3 linked regions of the Saccharomyces cerevisiae S288C genome follow. The protein of the gene in region 3 interacts with the protein of the main gene of each other region in a biochemical or structural test. Each region holds a gene or a part of one and is shown on either strand. Other genes may lie near its edges.

Region 1 (5,194 bases), on a different chromosome or scaffold from region 3:
TTCTGTATATGCAACGTAGAAGAAAGCAGCGTTTACACAAAAATGTCAAAAGTGTATGTTATTATAAGTTTTGAAAGGGATTTCAACATATACTAACAAATTCTTGAAATGTACCCTCACTGTCCTATTGTAAATCAGACCAAGAAATTTTAGGTTGTTAGAAGAATTAGAAAAGGGTGAAAAAGGGTTTGGTCCAGAATCATGTAGTTATGGTTTAGCTGATAGCGACGATATTACCATGACCAAATGGAACGGCACTATTTTAGGGCCCCCTCATAGTAATCATGAAAACAGAATCTATTCCCTTTCTATAGATTGTGGCCCAAACTATCCAGATTCTCCCCCAAAGGTCACTTTCATTTCCAAGATAAATCTACCATGCGTCAATCCAACTACGGGGGAGGTCCAAACTGACTTCCACACCTTACGTGACTGGAAAAGAGCCTACACCATGGAAACTTTATTACTTGATCTTAGAAAGGAAATGGCAACCCCAGCGAACAAGAAATTGCGTCAACCGAAGGAAGGAGAAACCTTTTAGTTATCTACTTTTTCCTAAACAGTATTTGCAGCATTCCAAGCCACTCATATATACAAGCAATAAGACATAGATATCCTCTTATTTAGGTAGTAAGTTTAATTACTTTCATAATATGAATTTACTCACCCCATGCCGAGAAGTTACTCGTGCAATTCACTACGATAATGATGTATATAGTTGTATTATCAATCCTTGCAACGGTCCTCATCCGGGCACACGAAGGTAAACCCTTAGATCTGCTAAAAAACAGACGACAGAAAGACTGTTGCACCCAAGATCGATAAATTTGTTCTCCAGTCCAAGCCAATAATAAATATATTGCAACACCAATCCACATTCTTCATGGGTCAAGAACGCCCCGGAGGGGTTCAACCTCGACGAGATACTGTACGTGTTACGAATGGCTGTTAAATTTGCGTTACTGTTATAAAATAACACTAAAATAAGAAATGGAAAGTAAATAAATAGTAAAGGAAAGTCAAATAAAGCAATGAATGCTGCATTGATCTGCCTTTTATAGCTAAGAAAAAAAAAGAGAAAAAAATAATAAGTGCGGGTAACCTCATGCATTGTAAAACGGTAGGGCTACAAGGCACTACTTACTCTACGCTATAGAAGAAGCTTCAAGACATGGTGTTGTTCTTATTTGAGCGAACTCAGCTGTCACCGTTTCGGGAAACTCTATAGTTTTCTGCGTTTCAGTACGCAGTTGGGCGTGCTAAAGTTGTTTTCCTAATTTGCTAGTGTTCACTTGCTCATTGATGTCCCTAAAAGGTAATGTCGCATAGTAAGATGTATGTCCCATATCAAACGCATTCCTAGAAAAACATGCACTGAATGAATAAGCAGTTACTTCGATTACTAATCTTCACAGCATAATTTTTCTCTTATCTTGTAAACCTCTTTCTATCTTTTCATAAAGTTTGTCACTTATATTTCTTCATTGGTACATCAATGCCAGCAACGATGTGCGCATCTGGGCGACGCCTGTAGTGATTGTTTTCAAGGTATCGAGCCAAACTATTCATCGTTACTGTTTCAAATATTCAGTTGTTTCAGTACAGAGTCGCCGTGGACCTAGTGAAACTTGGTGTCTTTACAGCGCAGAGACGAGGGCTTATATGTATAAAAGCTGTCCTTGATTCTGGTGTAGTTTGAGGTGTCCTTCCTATATCTGTTTTTATATTCTATATAATGGATAATTACTACCATCACCTGCATCAAATTCCAGTAAATTCACATATTGGAGAAAATGAAATTCATTTCTACCTTTCTCACTTTTATTTTAGCGGCCGTTTCTGTCACTGCTAGTTCCGATGAAGATATCGCTCAGGTGCCAGCCGAGGCCATTATTGGATACTTGGATTTCGGAGGTGATCATGACATAGCTTTTTTACCATTCAGTAACGCTACCGCCAGTGGGCTATTGTTTATCAACACCACTATTGCTGAGGCGGCTGAAAAAGAGCAAAACACCACTTTGGCGAAAAGAGAGGCTGTTGCCGACGCTTGGCACTGGTTAAATTTGAGACCAGGCCAACCAATGTACAAGAGAGAGGCCAACGCTGATGCTTGGCACTGGTTGCAACTCAAGCCAGGCCAACCAATGTACTGAAAAATGACCCTAAACTACTTCTAAACCCTCTCGATTTCTTTCACGTTCATACAACACCTAGTTTTATTTATTTTCTTTTCAATCTGAGTAGTTGAGTTTTCGATCACTCACATAGAACTATTTTTTGCCATTTAAATAAAGTATTCTCTCAAATGATGCGATACTATAATACTCTTTGCCATATATTACATTCATTCATAAATAGGCTATGTTTCTATATCCGTTTCCGATTCTGTCTGCAAGCAAGGTTCCCTATCATTACCGGATTGTTCACTATGGTTGGAGCTCTTCTTTTCCCCTGCACTTGCATCAGTCTCAGATTCAGAACCAGAAATGTCTCCGTAATCTTCATCCGATCTTCCTGCTGATATTTGAATACCATTGTCTTCTAAAGACACTAAATGTTTTTGAACATCACTGCTACTATCAGATTCAAAACTTATTGATTGTGTGTCATCTCCAAAAGAGGTAATATCATCGTACTTTTCACTGAGTTTATCTTTAGCAGTAATAATTGGCCTTTTAGAAAGTCCGAAAAATTGAAAGTCATCAAAATCGTCGTCTTCCATTTTGATCACGGATTGATTAGATATTTTTCTATTAGCTCTCCTCCGACTTGTGTCTTTCAACTTCTTTTGTAAATTTTGAGGCTCTACTACCGTCTTTCTTCGTTTCATTCTTTTTCCTGGAGAGTTTAACTCAGAAATTGGCTTTTGCACTTCCGTATTAATAAGCGCAGAATCTAAAACATCATCGTCAGACAATTTGATATTATTTTGTCGCAGAATCTCATGAAGCTCTCTTATTTTCTTCTTCTTCTCATTCAACAAGGTTACCATCATTGCTCTGGTTCTTTCATCACGTGTTTCTAAAAGCTTATCCAATAGCTCCCTTTCCCGAGCCAGCTGTTCAACTCGATTTCTATTGCTAGAATCGCTCTCCTTTATATTCCGGTAAGAATCGTTAACACAACAGATATCTTTATAGAGTTTATCTGCCATTTCAAATAAATCAATCTCTCCCTTTTTGACTGGATGCAAGGTAAGTTCAGCGATTTTTCTTATGATCGCCGATGACTCCAACTCCATAACTACTTTCCATACCTCATCATCTTGCATTCTGCACGTCCATTTTGTGAATACGACTTTTTCGTCTAACGATGCAATGTACACTTTGTGACCAGTTAACATTTTGAGTAGTTCATACCACACATATTTCTTAGACTCTTCATCGATATTTTCTCCCGTAAAGATTCGCAAATCATTGATTCCAAAACTGCTTTTGGAAAAAATTCCTGTACCTTCACTTACCAACATTTTCTCTATTCTAAGCCCTGAAAGACTGTTCTCATCTAATGTTTCCAACATAGCGCCATCTTCAATCTGAATCTTACAGAGGCCACGCTCATCTTCTTCATTTTGTTCTTCATTAACCACAGGGATACAGCTAATGAACTCCGTCAGCTGGGACATAGCACCCTACATAAATAAGTCATCCAATGCACAATTCTCTCAGTTCTATGCATTGACACGTCGAAAACTGCCGTTCATCTTATTATTCTTTAATATGGCTTTTCAAAATACGCTTCCGGGTACTTTTTCGGATTCATTAATGGTGTAATTAGTAATGCGTAGAAATATTTTGTATATAATAATAAATAACATGTTTGTCCAACAACTCGTAGGCTAGGCTAAACGTGAAGTCTTTCTGTTTTTGAGAACAACAGTATACATAAGTGATATCCAAGAATGACTGAGATACTACCACATGTAAACGACGAAGTGCTACCAGCAGAGTATGAACTTAATCAGCCGGAACCAGAACACTGTCCTGGTCCAGAATCAGACATGGCAGGTAAGTCCGATGCTTGTGGTGGCTGCGCCAATAAAGAAATATGTGAAAGTCTTCCGAAAGGCCCTGATCCAGATATTCCATTGATCACAGATAACTTGTCAGGAATAGAACATAAAATATTGGTTTTATCAGGCAAAGGTGGCGTAGGCAAGTCGACATTTGCCGCAATGCTAAGTTGGGCACTTTCAGCTGACGAAGATTTACAAGTAGGTGCCATGGATTTAGATATATGTGGACCTTCTTTGCCACATATGTTAGGCTGCATTAAAGAAACCGTCCATGAATCGAACTCCGGTTGGACACCTGTCTATGTGACTGATAATTTAGCCACCATGTCTATTCAATATATGCTTCCAGAAGACGATTCCGCCATTATATGGAGGGGTTCAAAAAAGAATTTATTGATAAAAAAATTTTTAAAGGATGTTGATTGGGATAAACTCGATTACTTGGTAATCGACACACCGCCCGGAACATCTGATGAGCACATTTCAATAAACAAGTATATGAGAGAATCTGGCATAGATGGTGCCCTTGTGGTCACCACACCTCAGGAAGTAGCTTTATTAGATGTACGGAAAGAGATAGATTTCTGTAAGAAGGCTGGTATCAATATTCTTGGACTAGTGGAAAATATGAGCGGATTTGTATGTCCAAATTGCAAAGGAGAGTCCCAAATATTCAAGGCTACCACAGGTGGAGGTGAAGCACTTTGTAAGGAATTGGGCATCAAATTTTTGGGGTCTGTTCCGTTAGATCCGAGGATTGGCAAGAGTTGTGACATGGGTGAAAGTTTCCTGGATAACTATCCTGACAGCCCAGCTTCGAGTGCTGTACTTAACGTTGTGGAGGCTCTGCGAGATGCTGTGGGGGATGTATAGTATATTTTATCAAAAAGAATAAAAGGAAGTGCATTAGAGGTCAAATCGTTTTATAATATAAATATCATTACCTTTAAATCTTAGACCTACTGAAGAACACTTTTACCATATATAATGCTACTAATTACTCCAAAAGCGTTAGCTTCAGTCCATGTTTTACTATTTTTCTTTTTTTTAGAAATAAAAATAAAAAAACTTATATCTTATATGTACACTTCATTAAATCCTGGGCAAACTCACCCCTCAAGTATGCCTTTTCTGGCTGCCCTAGGGGGAGCTCAAGCAATTTGGCCTTCGAATCGC
Region 2 (5,098 bases), on a different chromosome or scaffold from region 3:
GTATAGGCAGTAATTTGAATATCCCAACTCCACCTCACCCAATGAATGTGGTTGGGGGTCCTATTCCTGGAGCGAATGATGTTGCAGATGTTGGTTTGCCGTACAATATTCCCCCAGGTTTTATGACGCATCCTAATGGTCTTCACCCATTACACCCTCACCAGATGCCTTACCCTAATATGAATGGAATGTCTATTCCGCCACCAGCACCACATGGGTTTGGACAACCGATTTCCTTCCCACCTCCACCTCCTATGACAAATGTTTCAGATCAAGGAAGTCGTATTGTTGTCAATGAAAAGGAAAGCCAAGATTTGAAAAAATTCATTAATGGTAAACAGCACAGCAATGGTTCAACTATTGGGGGAGAAACAAAGAACAGTAGGAAAGGCGAGATTAAACCTTCTTCTGGCACAAACTCTACTGAATGTCAATCGCCAAAGTCACAAAGCAATGCTGCTGACCGTGATAATAAAAAAGACGAATCTACTTAGAACATACGACTAAAAACGAAGTATATTCGAGGTTACTTTAATAGTATATCTGAGACCTATATAAAGAGGGGTATTTGTATTTAATCGTTGATCTTGTTAAGAAAAAGCTTATAACAAATGGGGATTGTCAAAGGGTATTTTTTACACAAAGCTTTCCGCATAGTTATATATTATCTCATTTTCAATAATCCTCCTGTAGGGTGTAGCTTTGCACTTTCTTCTCATTGATCTCATTTTGCTTAGCAAACCATTTTTCTTCAAAGCCATTTGATCTGTGGACACCGTCCCATCTTGACCCAGGCATAATGGCAAACCTGTTCTCAGGTGCTGGCTTATCATAAAGCTTGCGGCCCAGTAAAGATGTTTTTACAGTTCTTTCTTTGTCATGTGTAAATGTTATTGCAGGGTCTTCTATCGTCAGACTCGAGGCAGTTTGATTTTTCTTCTTATCATGTGCATCTACATTTATTCCAAGCTTTTGCACGTCTCCCATATTCAAATTTTTCAGGTATTGCTCTCTTTCCGCGGCTTTCTCATCTTCATATTTAGATCGACTAAAACTAGAATCGTCTATCTTGGAATCTTCCTGAATCTTGTGACCTTGAGCGTCTCTGTATATGGTTTTTCGTGTTTTCGATTTGTCTGCTACTGTGACAAGTGGCTCTTGAGCCCTGATTTCCTTTAGATCGTTCTTGCTTTCGTTGCCAGTAATTGACGATGCGGAAGGATGTGTTATTGCATGGGAAAGCTCGTTTGTTTCCAGGTTCTTCCATATATTCTTGCTTTTTTGTTTGTCAAACTTGCTGAATGAAGCAACTCCTGACTTCTCCTGTTCTTGTTGCAGTGTACTTAGCCGTTCTTTTACTATCAAAGAAGTTTTGTCTGAGTTAGCGTCTGATTTTGACTCTTTCTTCTTCTTTTTCGTCTTATTTTTGGGTTTCGTGGGCCCATAAGTCTCTGATAAATACTGATGCAATGCCATGTAATAAACGTCCTGTTGTTATCTTCCACCATTCGAGTCTTGAGAACAACTTTCAAAATCAAGTCAAATAGCCATTTTCTTTATGCCATTTTCTAAGCGCGTTCTACAAAAAAAAAGCTTTTAAGCTTTAATACCTTTTTTGTTTACGTTTGCAAACATTGTTATCGTTCACATACCTGCATTTCCATCCATGCTGTAAGCCATTAGGTGTTTGTATGTGAGATGGTGACTGGTGAAGAAAATGTGTATCTAAAGTCAAGCTTATCCATTCTCAAGGAGCTCAGTCTCGATGAACTACTAAATGTGCAGTATGACGTGACTACCTTAATCGCGAAACGTGTTCAAGCACTGCAAAATCGGAATAAATGTGTTCTCGAAGAACCTAACAGTAAACTGGCTGAAATTCTATGTCACGAAAAAAATGCTCCTCAACAATCCTCTCAGACGTCTGCGGGGCCAGGTGAGCAAGATTCTGAAGATTTCATCCTTACTCAGTTTGATGAGGACATAAAGAAAGAATCAGCAGAGGTTCACTATCGTAATGAAAATAAACACACTGTGCAGTTACCGCTGGTTACTATGCCACCTAATAGGCATAAACGGAAAATTTCGGAGTTTAGTTCGCCTTTAAATGGCCTCAACAACTTAAGCGATTTGGAAGATTGCTCTGATACTGTAATCCACGAAAAAGATAATGATAAAGAGAACAAAACAAGAAAACTATTGGGAATAGAGCTCGAGAACCCTGAATCTACATCGCCAAATTTATACAAAAATGTTAAGGATAATTTCCTGTTTGACTTCAATACGAACCCTTTAACAAAGCGAGCCTGGATTCTCGAAGACTTTAGACCAAATGAAGATATCGCCCCGGTTAAGAGAGGAAGAAGAAAATTGGAGCGATTTTATGCCCAAGTTGGAAAGCCAGAGGATTCTAAACACAGATCATTGTCAGTAGTTATAGAATCGCAAAATTCGGACTACGAATTTGCGTTTGATAACTTGAGGAATAGATCAAAATCCCCCCCAGGTTTTGGAAGACTGGATTTTCCCTCCACTCAGGAAGGGAACGAGGACAAAAAGAAATCCCAGGAAATCATCAGAAGAAAGACAAAATATAGGTTTTTAATGGCAAGCAATAACAAGATCCCACCGTACGAGAGAGAATATGTATTCAAAAGAGAACAATTAAATCAAATTGTTGACGATGGATGTTTCTTCTGGAGTGATAAATTATTGCAGATATATGCTAGATGTTAAACGCCAGCGATCATCATTCTTTATTCATTACTTCAAATACATTTTTTTTGGTATGGTTGAAAGGGCTTTTTTCCTCGTTGGCATATGGGAAAAACTGAAAAATAAAAAAAGGCAATGAGATGAACAACAATGGAAAACAAAAAAGGGCGAATAAATAAGCAGCAGTTGGTAAAGCAGAAAGGGGAAGTTAACGGACGTTAAACAAATGACACCTAACTTACCAGGGTTTTATTATGATAGAGAACGTCGACGTTATTTTCGCATATCTGAAAATCAAAGCATTTCTACCACGGGAACGACGAACCAGTACAGAAAAGATAATATAAAGCGACAATGTGTTGAGGAAAATTACGATAAAAAATTTTCTATGATTAAAAAAAAACGTCAGCAAACATTACAAAAGTACAAGCTTAGTCTTCTGAATCCGTTGGAAAGGGCTTTTCGCCCTTTATCATATGAAAAGTACATGATTGGTTTAAATATGCAGTATGCATCGCATTCTCTCACTGAAGGTCATCACTCACATAGTTCTGCTAACGTAAAATCACTCAATTTTCCACACAGGATACAGATAGGAGTATTAGCAAATTGTATTTTATTGGTAACTCAAGAAGGATGTTTTCATAGTAAATTAGTATTTGCAACAAACAAGGGCTATGTCGCAGGATTTTCATCCCTGGATAATTTTTCTGAAGAAAATTTCTTTACGGGGTTTTCCATGGCTGAATTAAATCCTATGTTGAAATATAAGTCCGAGCCAACTGATGTGTTCAAAACAATGAAACTTGAGAGAACAGTTGCCATCAAGGAAGGGCCGAGCCATTATTTTTATCACAACGTTAATACCAGATCTAACGTGCATACTTTTGCCATCTTTTTACAAGACTTTTCTTCCTTAAAACTGCTCAAAATTCGTCAGGTCAAACTCAAAGAAAATTGCCAAGTCCATGATTCTCTTGTTGTTGGAGACACGTTGATTATTACCGTAAATTATCGTTGTCATTTTTATGATTTGATTCCAGAAACCTTTCCAAATCCCTATATCTTTTCTCCTGCCAAAAGCTCAAGAAAACACAAAAGTAGGAGTGACATTACTTCCCTATCATTTTGTCTACAAGAAGATGCTTTATCACCTTTAAAAAAAACGAACACCGGTGTGTTTTATTTAGGTTACAGAAATGGTGATTCAATGGCAATAGTCTTCACTAATATTACAAACATGACATTACAGTACTCCAAGACCAACGGTATGACATCAGAAAGTCGAAATCAACCTATCAGAAATTCCCTAAAATCTGTTGTTTCCATAAAAGCATTGAATAATAAAGGCCTAATACTTATATCTGGAATGGCAGACAAAGAGAATGTGCAACAACTGGTTATAGCAGATACGTTCCTGGAGGACATTCTGACCGAAATCCCGGTTGTATCTTTTAAAACTAAGTTCTTAAACGTGACTAAGGATACAGAAATACTCGAGATATCGGATGACGGGCGCTACTTCATTTATGGTTCAACTAGCGCTAGGGACGGAAAGGGTGATTTTGAAGTATTTTGTACCACTTTATCTGGAAATCTTGACTACGAAAAATCCGAAGGTGGAAATATCACCCTCTATCCAATAGGAGGTATGAAGAACTACTGTAGGTTAGAAAACTTCCAGTTTGAATCTATCCACCTACATTCGGCTTTCATACCCCCAAGGTACGTAAATCCGTTTGATGCTGTGGAACCTCTAGGTGAAGAGAGCAGTACTTCACCTTACGATATACCTGAAGAAGCACTTTCTCAAAAAATATGCATCTTAATTCGGAGAGAAGATGATCCCTACAATGGGGCCAATATCTTCATAACATCTGCTTTGACCTAGTTTAGCCCACCGAGATTTTTGCTTTATAAATATTTTAGCATACTTTGCATTCATATACATATTCATATGTATAAATATTCTTTAAATTTTAACGCCGACTTCGAACTAATTAGCAGTCAAAACCCAAATGTAATGACCTTATGGTGTTATAGCATAATTCTTCTTGGTGTACAATTCCATTCTGAATAGTTCAACGATTTTAGATATAGTTAGATATGATATTATAATAAAATATACAAATATGTATCATTGTTAGTACAAGTTAAACCTAAATATAATAAAGCCAACCAAGACAGGAACCAGTAGAAAAATTTATACAAATGACAAAGAAAAACAAACGGTATTTTCCTATTTATTAAAAATGCTTGAGCGAATGGATATTTTAACACATTAGTGTCCTAAAGGACAATTGGATTTGAAAATAAAATGACAGTAATAGACAAAAAGAAAACTGAATGAATGAATGGACGTATGGATTGCTTAATGAATGAA
Region 3 (8,784 bases):
TGAAACATGGAACCTTTTAAAGATCAACTATCAATTGAAACAAGTAAGGGAAAGATTGGCAAAAGGTTTGGTCGATAAAGGTGTATTGAGAACAGAAATGAAAAATTTCTTTTTGTTTGACATGGCGACACACCCCATTGCAGACGCCAGCTGCAAAGAAGCCATTAAGCGCAGAGTACTTTCTGTACTCGTATCGAGGAACATGGAATTAAGTTACAATGAATATTTTCCGGAGACAACATCTTTCAAAATCATTAGAACTTTAGCTTTAATATGTGGATCATATGGGGCAAACGTATTGGAGAATGTCCTGACTACGTTGGAATATGAGAAGAGAGATAAGGCAATTAGTAGAGCTGAAGAAATAATGGCACAATTTTCGCAATACCCATTTGATTTAGAAAAGGAAACTGAGTTAGGTGTCTCCGTTAATTTAAACAAGGAAGTTAAAGAAGAGATAGAAAACAATCCTGGTCATGATTTACAATTGGAAGTTATTGCTGGTGTATTTGAAGTCTTTTCAAGAATGGATATGCTATTATGAAAATAACAACAAAAATCCTCTCTTTGAAACATAAGGAAAAGTCAAGCTTTTTTTTATAAGCCTCTAACATTAATAAACGAAATTTGTATATATGTATATACATATACGGAGTGGATAATAAATAGACCAAACTTTTTGTTATTATATACGCCCACATTCGTATTCATTGCTTTCTTGAATCCAAATGCTTTAAATATGGAGATAAAAATCCGCCATCGCCATATTTATTCAAGTAATATTTTTTAACTCTCACATCTTGAAATATTGATGGTTTTGATGACACATTAAAGTGCAAGCCTTCATTAAATGCGTTTATCAACGACCTTGACTCATTTGCATAAGCTTCACCACATGACTCCCACCAAAAGCCTCCGCCTAAATTGTTATGTGTCACATATTCAGCCTTAGTTTTGACTGATTTAGTGTTATCATAACTGATAAATATTGAATTTTTTTCATCAAAGCAATATGCTGAAACATATTTTGGATCGTATTGTTCTATTGTACCAATCTTTGGTAAATTTTTGTAAGGCCAGATGCCCTCCTTGCCATCAGCTTTATCTATTTCTTTAGTGGGCTTGCCCACTCCTTTGAAAATTTTGTTAATTAATACAGTATTTTGATTGAATGGTTCGAATTTGTTATCTTTGATATGGAAACTTCTTCCGTAGGCGGCCATTCCCAGTACTAATTTTCTAGAATTGACGCCAAATCTATCGATCATATAATGCATGGCAAAGTTTCCATTCAATTCCGTCTCACTGAATAGATTGCTGTGATATCCTGTTGTTTCTGACCACGAGCCATAATAATCGTACGTCATCATATTCCAGTAGTCAACATATTGATCAATTTCTGTGATTGGCAAGTAAAATAATTTATCCTTGAATGCAGGTGCCGCAATAGATAATTGAAAATGATCTTCAGTACGTTTCCCAAATATTTGGGATTCGAGGCTGTTTAGTTTTAATCGCAGCATTCTGACCAGTTTCAGATATCCGCGAGGTTCTGATTCATTGTTACCAGGGAACTCCCAGTCTAGATCAATGCCATCAAATCCTAATCTGAACATTGTTTCCACCGACGAATCAACAAAATTTTGTAAGAGTTTATCATCTTTAATTATGATTTTGAAATTTTCACTATCAGACCAGCCCCCAATTGACATGATAACTTTAAATTTCTTATCAGAACAGGTATTCTTCAAATAAAATAGTTCACCAATGCAACCTAAGGGTAGGATGTTTTGGACACTATTGTTCGAGCTTTCTTTAATTAGTTCTGAATTTTTAATTGCCAGCGATTTATACAAATTCATTTCTAGATCAGACCAACTATCCGTGTTTTCTATACCACCAGTTCTAGAGTTTATTTTGAAAAATGCATAGTAAATGTGAGACACTTGCTTCAAGTTTATGTCGTGAGGGAAATGAAACCTCGGTTTGTATGGGGACCAATTGGAATAATAGACCCCTGATATAAAGGCTTCGTCTCTTATATGGGTTCCATGATTTTGGACATTACTGGGAACTCGATGTCCGCCATTGTTAAAGTTGTCTCTAATATCATCCGACCTTTGGTTCTTAAAAATTTTATTATATAAACACATTTCAATAATAATCGTTATAAAGATAAGTAGTATTAGTAGGTGAGACACTAAGCTGCTTTTTGATCTGTGCTGAGCTGAGTGTCCTACCATATGATCACTCTTGTATCGTCTACTTATAGAGGTTGTTAGTACCAACCTGCAAATACAATTGTTGGACCATACTACCACAAAAGGTTCTTTTCGTTGGTGTATCCTCACAAATAATGATTATTCCACCAAAATCACCAAATTATTGTGTCAAACTAACTGGGATTACCCCACTATTGATTTTTCCAGTTTTTCCGCAATTTTCGCAGCATGTTTTACTTTTATAATGGCATTGTTGCATTACAGCGCCAGTTGTAGGTATCGATGATTTTATGTCAAAGTTTTCTTTCTAGCCAAACTCAGTTATGTCAACTGAACAAGATGCTGTTCTTGGATTGGCCAAAGATTTAGAAGGTATAAATTTGCTTACTGTGCCCAATCTCGAGAGAGGACACCAAAGTAAATTATGCAAAGAGAAAACTACTTCTGATTCATCTTCGTCAAGGAAGCCTTCACAACAGAGAGACAATTATAGAAAGAGACGTCCGAAACTTATATGTATCCCATATACGTCTTTTCTGCATACTGGTATGCACAATTTTTTGACGAAACCACCAAGAGATATATTTCATGAAAGTAAAGAAGTAGCTCTGTTTACCAATGGCCGGGCTTATACAATCCTACGCAAAGACCTTATACCAAATTTGAAAGAAAGTATTGCTGAATTGTATGAAAGCTCGCTTCTTGAGGCAAAAAAGCGGAAAGTCCCGTATTTAGGCCATGACTTATTTGCTAATATTGATGAGTTCGTTCCCATGACAATATCCGAATTAGATAGTGTATCACCGTGTTTTTCATACATTGAGAACTGGATACTAGATAATCCTGGTAAGGATTTTAAGATCGGCAAGAAATTTACTGTTGTAACCACAAGACATCATATCGTAGATTTGACTATGCATCTCTTTAACAGGCGAAATAGACAAACGTCACTAATTGTAACTTATATGGGGGCGGGCCTTCTTTCATTTTGCAGAAATGTAAAAAAAGATTCTCAAATGTCCAAAGAGGGCATTTATTCAAATGATCCAAATATGAAGAAAATTTGCTATTCAGGATTTGAATTTGAAAATTGGGTAACCGAAAATTCCAAAGTCGCTGATTTAACTGGCTCTAAATGTCCTATTTTTTCTCTTGTAGAGAGTAAACTTTCAGAAGAAATTGGTCTTTTAATTCGCTGCGAAATGGATGCATTCAATCCTGTTTCGGAGACAAACACAGAACTAAAGTGTTTTGCCCCATTATCAATGCACAATTCCAATCATAGGAGAAAACTTCTGAAAACGTGGGTACAGACGGGTTTATTACCGAACTCAGATATCATGATAGGTTTGAGGGACAGTCATAGCGGTCAATTACTAGACATTCAATGGTACTCAAGGGACTTATTATGTAAGAAATTCAATCACCCAGGTCTACCTACAAATAAAAAGGAACTTAACTATAATGCCCAAATTGCGGTAGAATGGTGTCATTATTGTATTGAAGCAATTTGTAAGCTGGTGGAGGCAAATATCTCTGACTATAGCAGTACAAAACCAGAATCATTTGAAATCGGTATAGATACTAACAACGCCATCGTCATCACTAAACTTAAGACTACTCCAAGAAACGTAGAATTATTTGGAATGTAGAGACGTGTATAATATATAATACTTTTCCGAGAAATATTTCATTTTCATTTTCGTAAAGTTGTTAACTACGCTAAATATTAGTACTTTTCTTAAATTTATATGGGGAGCCCTTTTTTTCTATGAAAAGCAATGCGTAAACCAAATAAGCAGAATTTTGTAATAGATGAGCAACAATACTGAGAAGGTGATAACTATAAATTTATGTGGGTAGTACGATACCAGAATACATTGGAAGATGGCTCTATTAGCTTTATATCATGTTGTCTTCAGGCCTTCAAAACTTATAGTATAGGTAGATCAAGTAAAAACCCACTGATAATTAAAAATGATAAAAGTATTTCCAGACAGCATATCACATTCAAATGGGAAATCAATAATAGTTCGGATCTGAAACACAGTAGCCTGTGTTTAGTTAACAAGGGTAAATTGACATCATTAAATAAAAAATTCATGAAAGTTGGCGAAACATTTACTATTAATGCCTCGGACGTTTTAAAGTCCACAATAATTGAACTGGGTACAACTCCTATTCGTATAGAGTTCGAATGGATAAATGAAGTCTGGAACATTCCTCCTCATTTGACACAATTCAGGACGATGCTTTCTGAATATGGTATCTCCACTGAGATTTCTATTAATGATATTCCCGCTAATCTGATGATTAGCGATTACCCAAAGAGCGAGGACAACAGCATACGGGAATTGTATGCCCTTGTTAGTACTATACCCATGAAAAAATCACGGTTTCTGATGGAATTGTGTAATACTCTTCTTCCCACATCTAAAACTAATTTAAAATTTGATGAAATGTGGAACGATATGATTAGTAATCCGGAGTACAATGTTTTTGATTTTGATCCAAATATTTTGCTTTCGAAGTTTATGAGGCTGAATAATATCAGAGTGTTAACTACTATCAAAAGTGAACCACGTCTATCATCTCTCCTGCGGACGTTCAATATAAATTTATTTGCATTTGACAACATTGATAGTTTATATAAATATGTTGACAGCTTGGAAGCATCAACAGAATACCTGATTTTGACAACTACAGATAAGAAAGAAAATGGGAAAATTCTATGTACTATCAAAACGATGTTAACATCAATAATAGATGGCACCTTAAGCGCAGTGATTAATATGAAGGGTGCATCTTCAAGAACTCTAGATAACGGTAAATTTGATCAAATTTCTGAAGGAATGTCTACTATTTTGAAAACATCTCGTGCACCTGAAGTTGAAGCTAGTCCAGTAGTCTCGAAGAAGCGAAAATTAAATAGACGTAGAGTACTACCACTCGATAGTCTTGATTTTTTTGCTGGAGGTTTGAGTACTAAGACTCTATCAGAAAATAGGTCTTTAACTGACGCTAAGAGACTTAATTGTGGCGCAGAATCAAAGACTGTCATTTCAAGTCCCAACATTGCAGAGGCAGATGAAAAGCACGCCCCATTTCTTCAAAACGCACTAAAGCCGACTGAAGATATTGGAAAGAAAAGTGGTCACAGTAGCCCTGGTGCTATAATTGTCAGTAGCCCCAACTTAGGTACTGTGAACACGAGTGAGGATTCGTTGGATAAGTCGCTACAGTCACATAAGTTACCACAGCCGTCATTGCCGGAGGTAGCAGGGATTGGCTCTCAAACCATATCTTCGAACTCCGCTGACTATGAAACAGCTGCTGTGAATTCGATGGATGATGCTGAAGTTACTAAGAATTTTAGGGTGAATCATCACCAGAATATAGAGCAACCCTCTAAAAACATCCGTAAACTTTCTAATTATTCACGAGAAATTTCATCTCCATTACAAGAAAATTGTAAGTCACCTGTAAAAGAGTTATCTATTAAAGAGAAATCTGGTACGCCGCACGCATTTGTTGAAGCTATTCAAGAAACTAAAAATAGAGAGGTCAAAAGAGTTAAGTCAACCATTGTTGAATTGAAGGATGAGGAGTTGAGCGAGGAAGCTATTAATCAGCTAAAAAATTTGGCTATTGTAGAACCTAGTAACAATTTACTGAGGAAATCATTTGATAGTGAGGGAAACAAAACAAGCAGAACAACTGAAAAATGGGAAAATAGCCTAATGGAGCCAGAATGGCATAAACGCAAGAATTTCAAGACTTTTGTCAAGGTACGTCCAAAATCAAAGGCGCACAAAGAAGAGGGTAAAAATAACACTCAAAGCTCAGATTTTATACGAAATGCAGCCTTTTTAATCACTAGAAATTATGTTCCGTTAAAAAAATACTCCAAAAAGGATACAACTACAAAATGGGGCACAGAAGAAAACGAAGATATGTTTGCTTTGACGGAGATGGAAAGATTTGGATCGAATACATTTATGTCCGATAATATAAACTCAAACACTATCCAGAAAAGATCTCAAGCTCTAAACAGATTCACGAATGAGGATAGTTCAAATGAAGGAGAAGAAGATTCGTTTTCTTTTTCTCGTTGTTCAGGTACTGCAGCCAGCGTTCAACCACTAAAAAACAAAATTTTTATTACTGATGAAGATGATCTGGGTGATATTGATGATAAAAGCGATAGACTAAATCACAGAGAAAATAATCGTAATCTTTTTGTGGTGAAGGAAATGAACTTACGGCCAAACTTGTCAGAAGAATGTTCCAAGCAAAGTAGACACAGTAGAAGCGCAACTAGTAGATCACGTGGCTCTTTTGGGGCTTCTAATAACGGTGATGGCGACGACGACGATGACGACGGTCCGAAGTTTACGTTCAAAAGAAGAAAAGGATAATGATAAATTTTCCGAGTATTTCCAATTTCATTAAATTATATTTTGCATTATCATTCGATATATGTGTATATATTATATGAAAATTAGTAAAATCAATGTTTGTTTCAGCTGTATCGGATCGGTTTAAAGAAGCACTACAGGTTGCTGGAGGCATTAACTGTAATGTAGCGCGCTCATTGGAAAATTGGGAAGGATCCCCACTTCATATCAACGACTCTCTTTGTACCATGCACTTTGGATAGGTTACTAATAGTCTTGAAATCATCCTCAGGCAGAGTGAAAATCTTAAAATTGGATACAATTCTTTCAGGATTAACCGATTTGGCCAGAACAACGTAGCCTCTTTGAATACTCCAACTGATAATAAGCTGTGCTGGCTCAACGCCGTGCTTTTTAGCCATATCAATAATTGCTTGCTCTTTTAGTAAAGGAGCATTAGCACTCCCAAATGGTGAGTAGGCTTCAACAACAATACCCTTTTCCTTACAAAAGGCAATCAATTCGTCTTGTGGTAGCAATGGATGAATTTCAATTTGATTAGTAGCTGGTACCACCTTGTTATTTGGAGATTCTAATAATTCTTTAATGTTGTTAATAGAAAAATTAGAGACACCAACGGCTTTAGTTTTGCCCGTCTTTGGCAACTCTTGCATCAACTCCCACGTCTTGATAAAATTCCATTCCTTAGTATCGATGTCAACAGTGCCATCTTCTAATGTTGGAATGCACAGAACGTTACCATCAGTAACTCTGTCGGTTTTCAAAGGCACTGGCCAATGCATCAGATATAGGTCAACATAATCCAAGCCTAGTCTTTTCAAAGACTTGTTTAGAGCAGCTTCCGGATCACGTTGTTCCGTACCCCAAAGCTTAGTAGTAATAAAAATTTCCTCACGAGGGACTCCGGAATCTTTAATAGCCCTGCCAACTTCTTCTTCATTCAAATAGATAGCCGCAGCATCAATGTGTCTGTATCCAGCTTTCAAAGCTGCAATTACAGAATGGTAACCGTTATTGTCAACGGAACGCCAAGTGCCGAAACCCAACACTGGAATGGAGGCACCAGTATTTAGTTTTAATGTAGCAGAAGAATTCTTTAACGTAGCAGGCATGGTAGATTATTATCTGTGGGTATATTTGCGACCTGATTATATTGCAAAGTTACTTTATTATCACTTTAGAAAAGAAAAGGGTTTCACGGAATTGAATTGCAACCAAATAGGGAATTGCGTGCTATATAGTTTCCTTTTTCCTTTTTTTTCAAAATTACGTAAGAGCTACTTAAATACACACGTGATGAAAAGTGACAATAGCATCAGTGAGAATGATTTTATGATGTCAGAATAGAAACATTTCTTCATCAGTGTAAAACGCTATAACGCTAGGGCTTTATTTTACTATTTACTCTAACAAATTCTTACATAGCTTATAACAACCTTTTTGGCTCTTAGCCCACAGTCTTTTCCAAATAGGCTTGTTTTTCAAGTTTTGTTCTACGTCATCCCTATCAACTAAATATTTGGGGTGGTGTAACAATTCTTGAACAAAAGATGCCAAAATGAAGTTAAAGTAGAACCTGAATATCAATGACACCAACGTAATTAAAATAGTCATGGTATATTCGTAGCTTTCAGTTGCACTTTGTTTACTTATATCAATACCACGTTCTGTCAGCTTACCTGTCGATATTGGGTTACTTTGTAGTGCATTATTTCCATCAATATTAGCAGTGTCTTCCAAGGTGAACCATTGCGTGGTAAACCATAGAGTAAAAAAACAAGTGGAAATGGTATCGATTGTATAAAGTACGCAGATTTGCGAAAATACCAGCAAGTTTGGCTTATGAATCAAATACAGCCCTTGTGAGAATACGATTAATGTAAATACCGACCAAAGATATGCTATCCATTGCATAAAATCCAACGGATGACCCGTGAACAATGCTAAAATACCATAAGCACCACTGCATTTGTTTAGAATGGAAATACCTAAGACAATCTCAACTGCAAGGTATAGCGGCATAAACCCCAAAAAAGACTATGAAAAAAAAATATGTTTGAGAACAGGTTAGTAAAATTGTGCTTTGCTTCGAATCCTTACAAGTTAACAAAAATTTATAGCGTTTGCCGGAAACATACTTTTGG

The links. Proteins that work in one complex are often made in the same cells at the same time.
Region 1: the proteins of XRS2 (region 3) and LIF1 form a complex in vitro, tested with the Saccharomyces cerevisiae proteins (one study listed by BioGRID).
Region 2: the proteins of XRS2 (region 3) and SAE2 form a complex in vitro, tested with the Saccharomyces cerevisiae proteins (3 studies listed by BioGRID, with this or other methods).

Annotation. Positions count from the first base shown.
Region 1 is NC_001139.9:341,753-346,946, reverse strand, and holds LIF1 (Lif1p), read right to left. Parts: upstream 3,629-5,194; coding exon 2,363-3,628; downstream 1-2,362. Other genes in the region: E2 ubiquitin-conjugating protein MMS2, read left to right, coding at 43-53, 139-541; YGL088W (uncharacterized protein), read right to left, coding at 746-1,111; MF(ALPHA)2 (Mf(Alpha)2p), read left to right, coding at 1,794-2,156; NBP35 (Fe-S cluster-binding ATPase), read left to right, coding at 3,905-4,891; nucleocytoplasmic transporter NUP145, read right to left, coding at 5,088-5,194. UniProt on the Saccharomyces cerevisiae protein: Involved in non-homologous repair of DNA double-strand breaks. Stabilizes DNL4.
Region 2 is NC_001139.9:170,923-176,020, reverse strand, and holds SAE2 (ssDNA endodeoxyribonuclease SAE2), read left to right. Parts: upstream 1-1,698; coding exon 1,699-2,736; downstream 2,737-5,098. Other genes in the region: chromatin-binding exonuclease XRN1, read left to right, coding at 1-494; BUD13 (Bud13p), read right to left, coding at 676-1,476; YGL176C (uncharacterized protein), read left to right, coding at 2,942-4,606. UniProt on the Saccharomyces cerevisiae protein: Endonuclease that cooperates with the MRX complex in processing meiotic and mitotic double-strand breaks by allowing the endonucleolytic removal of SPO11 from the break sites and ensuring both resection and intrachromosomal association of the broken ends.
Region 3 is NC_001136.10:1,212,872-1,221,655, reverse strand, and holds XRS2 (Xrs2p), read left to right. Parts: upstream 1-4,075; coding exon 4,076-6,640; downstream 6,641-8,784. Other genes in the region: VPS74 (Vps74p), read left to right, coding at 1-544; CTS2 (putative chitinase), read right to left, coding at 708-2,243; DXO1 (Dxo1p), read left to right, coding at 2,546-3,874; trifunctional aldehyde reductase/carbonyl reductase (NADPH)/glucose 1-dehydrogenase (NADP(+)) YPR1, read right to left, coding at 6,814-7,752; KEI1 (Kei1p), read right to left, coding at 8,042-8,677, 8,779-8,784. UniProt on the Saccharomyces cerevisiae protein: Component of the MRN complex, which plays a central role in double-strand break (DSB) repair, DNA recombination, maintenance of telomere integrity and meiosis.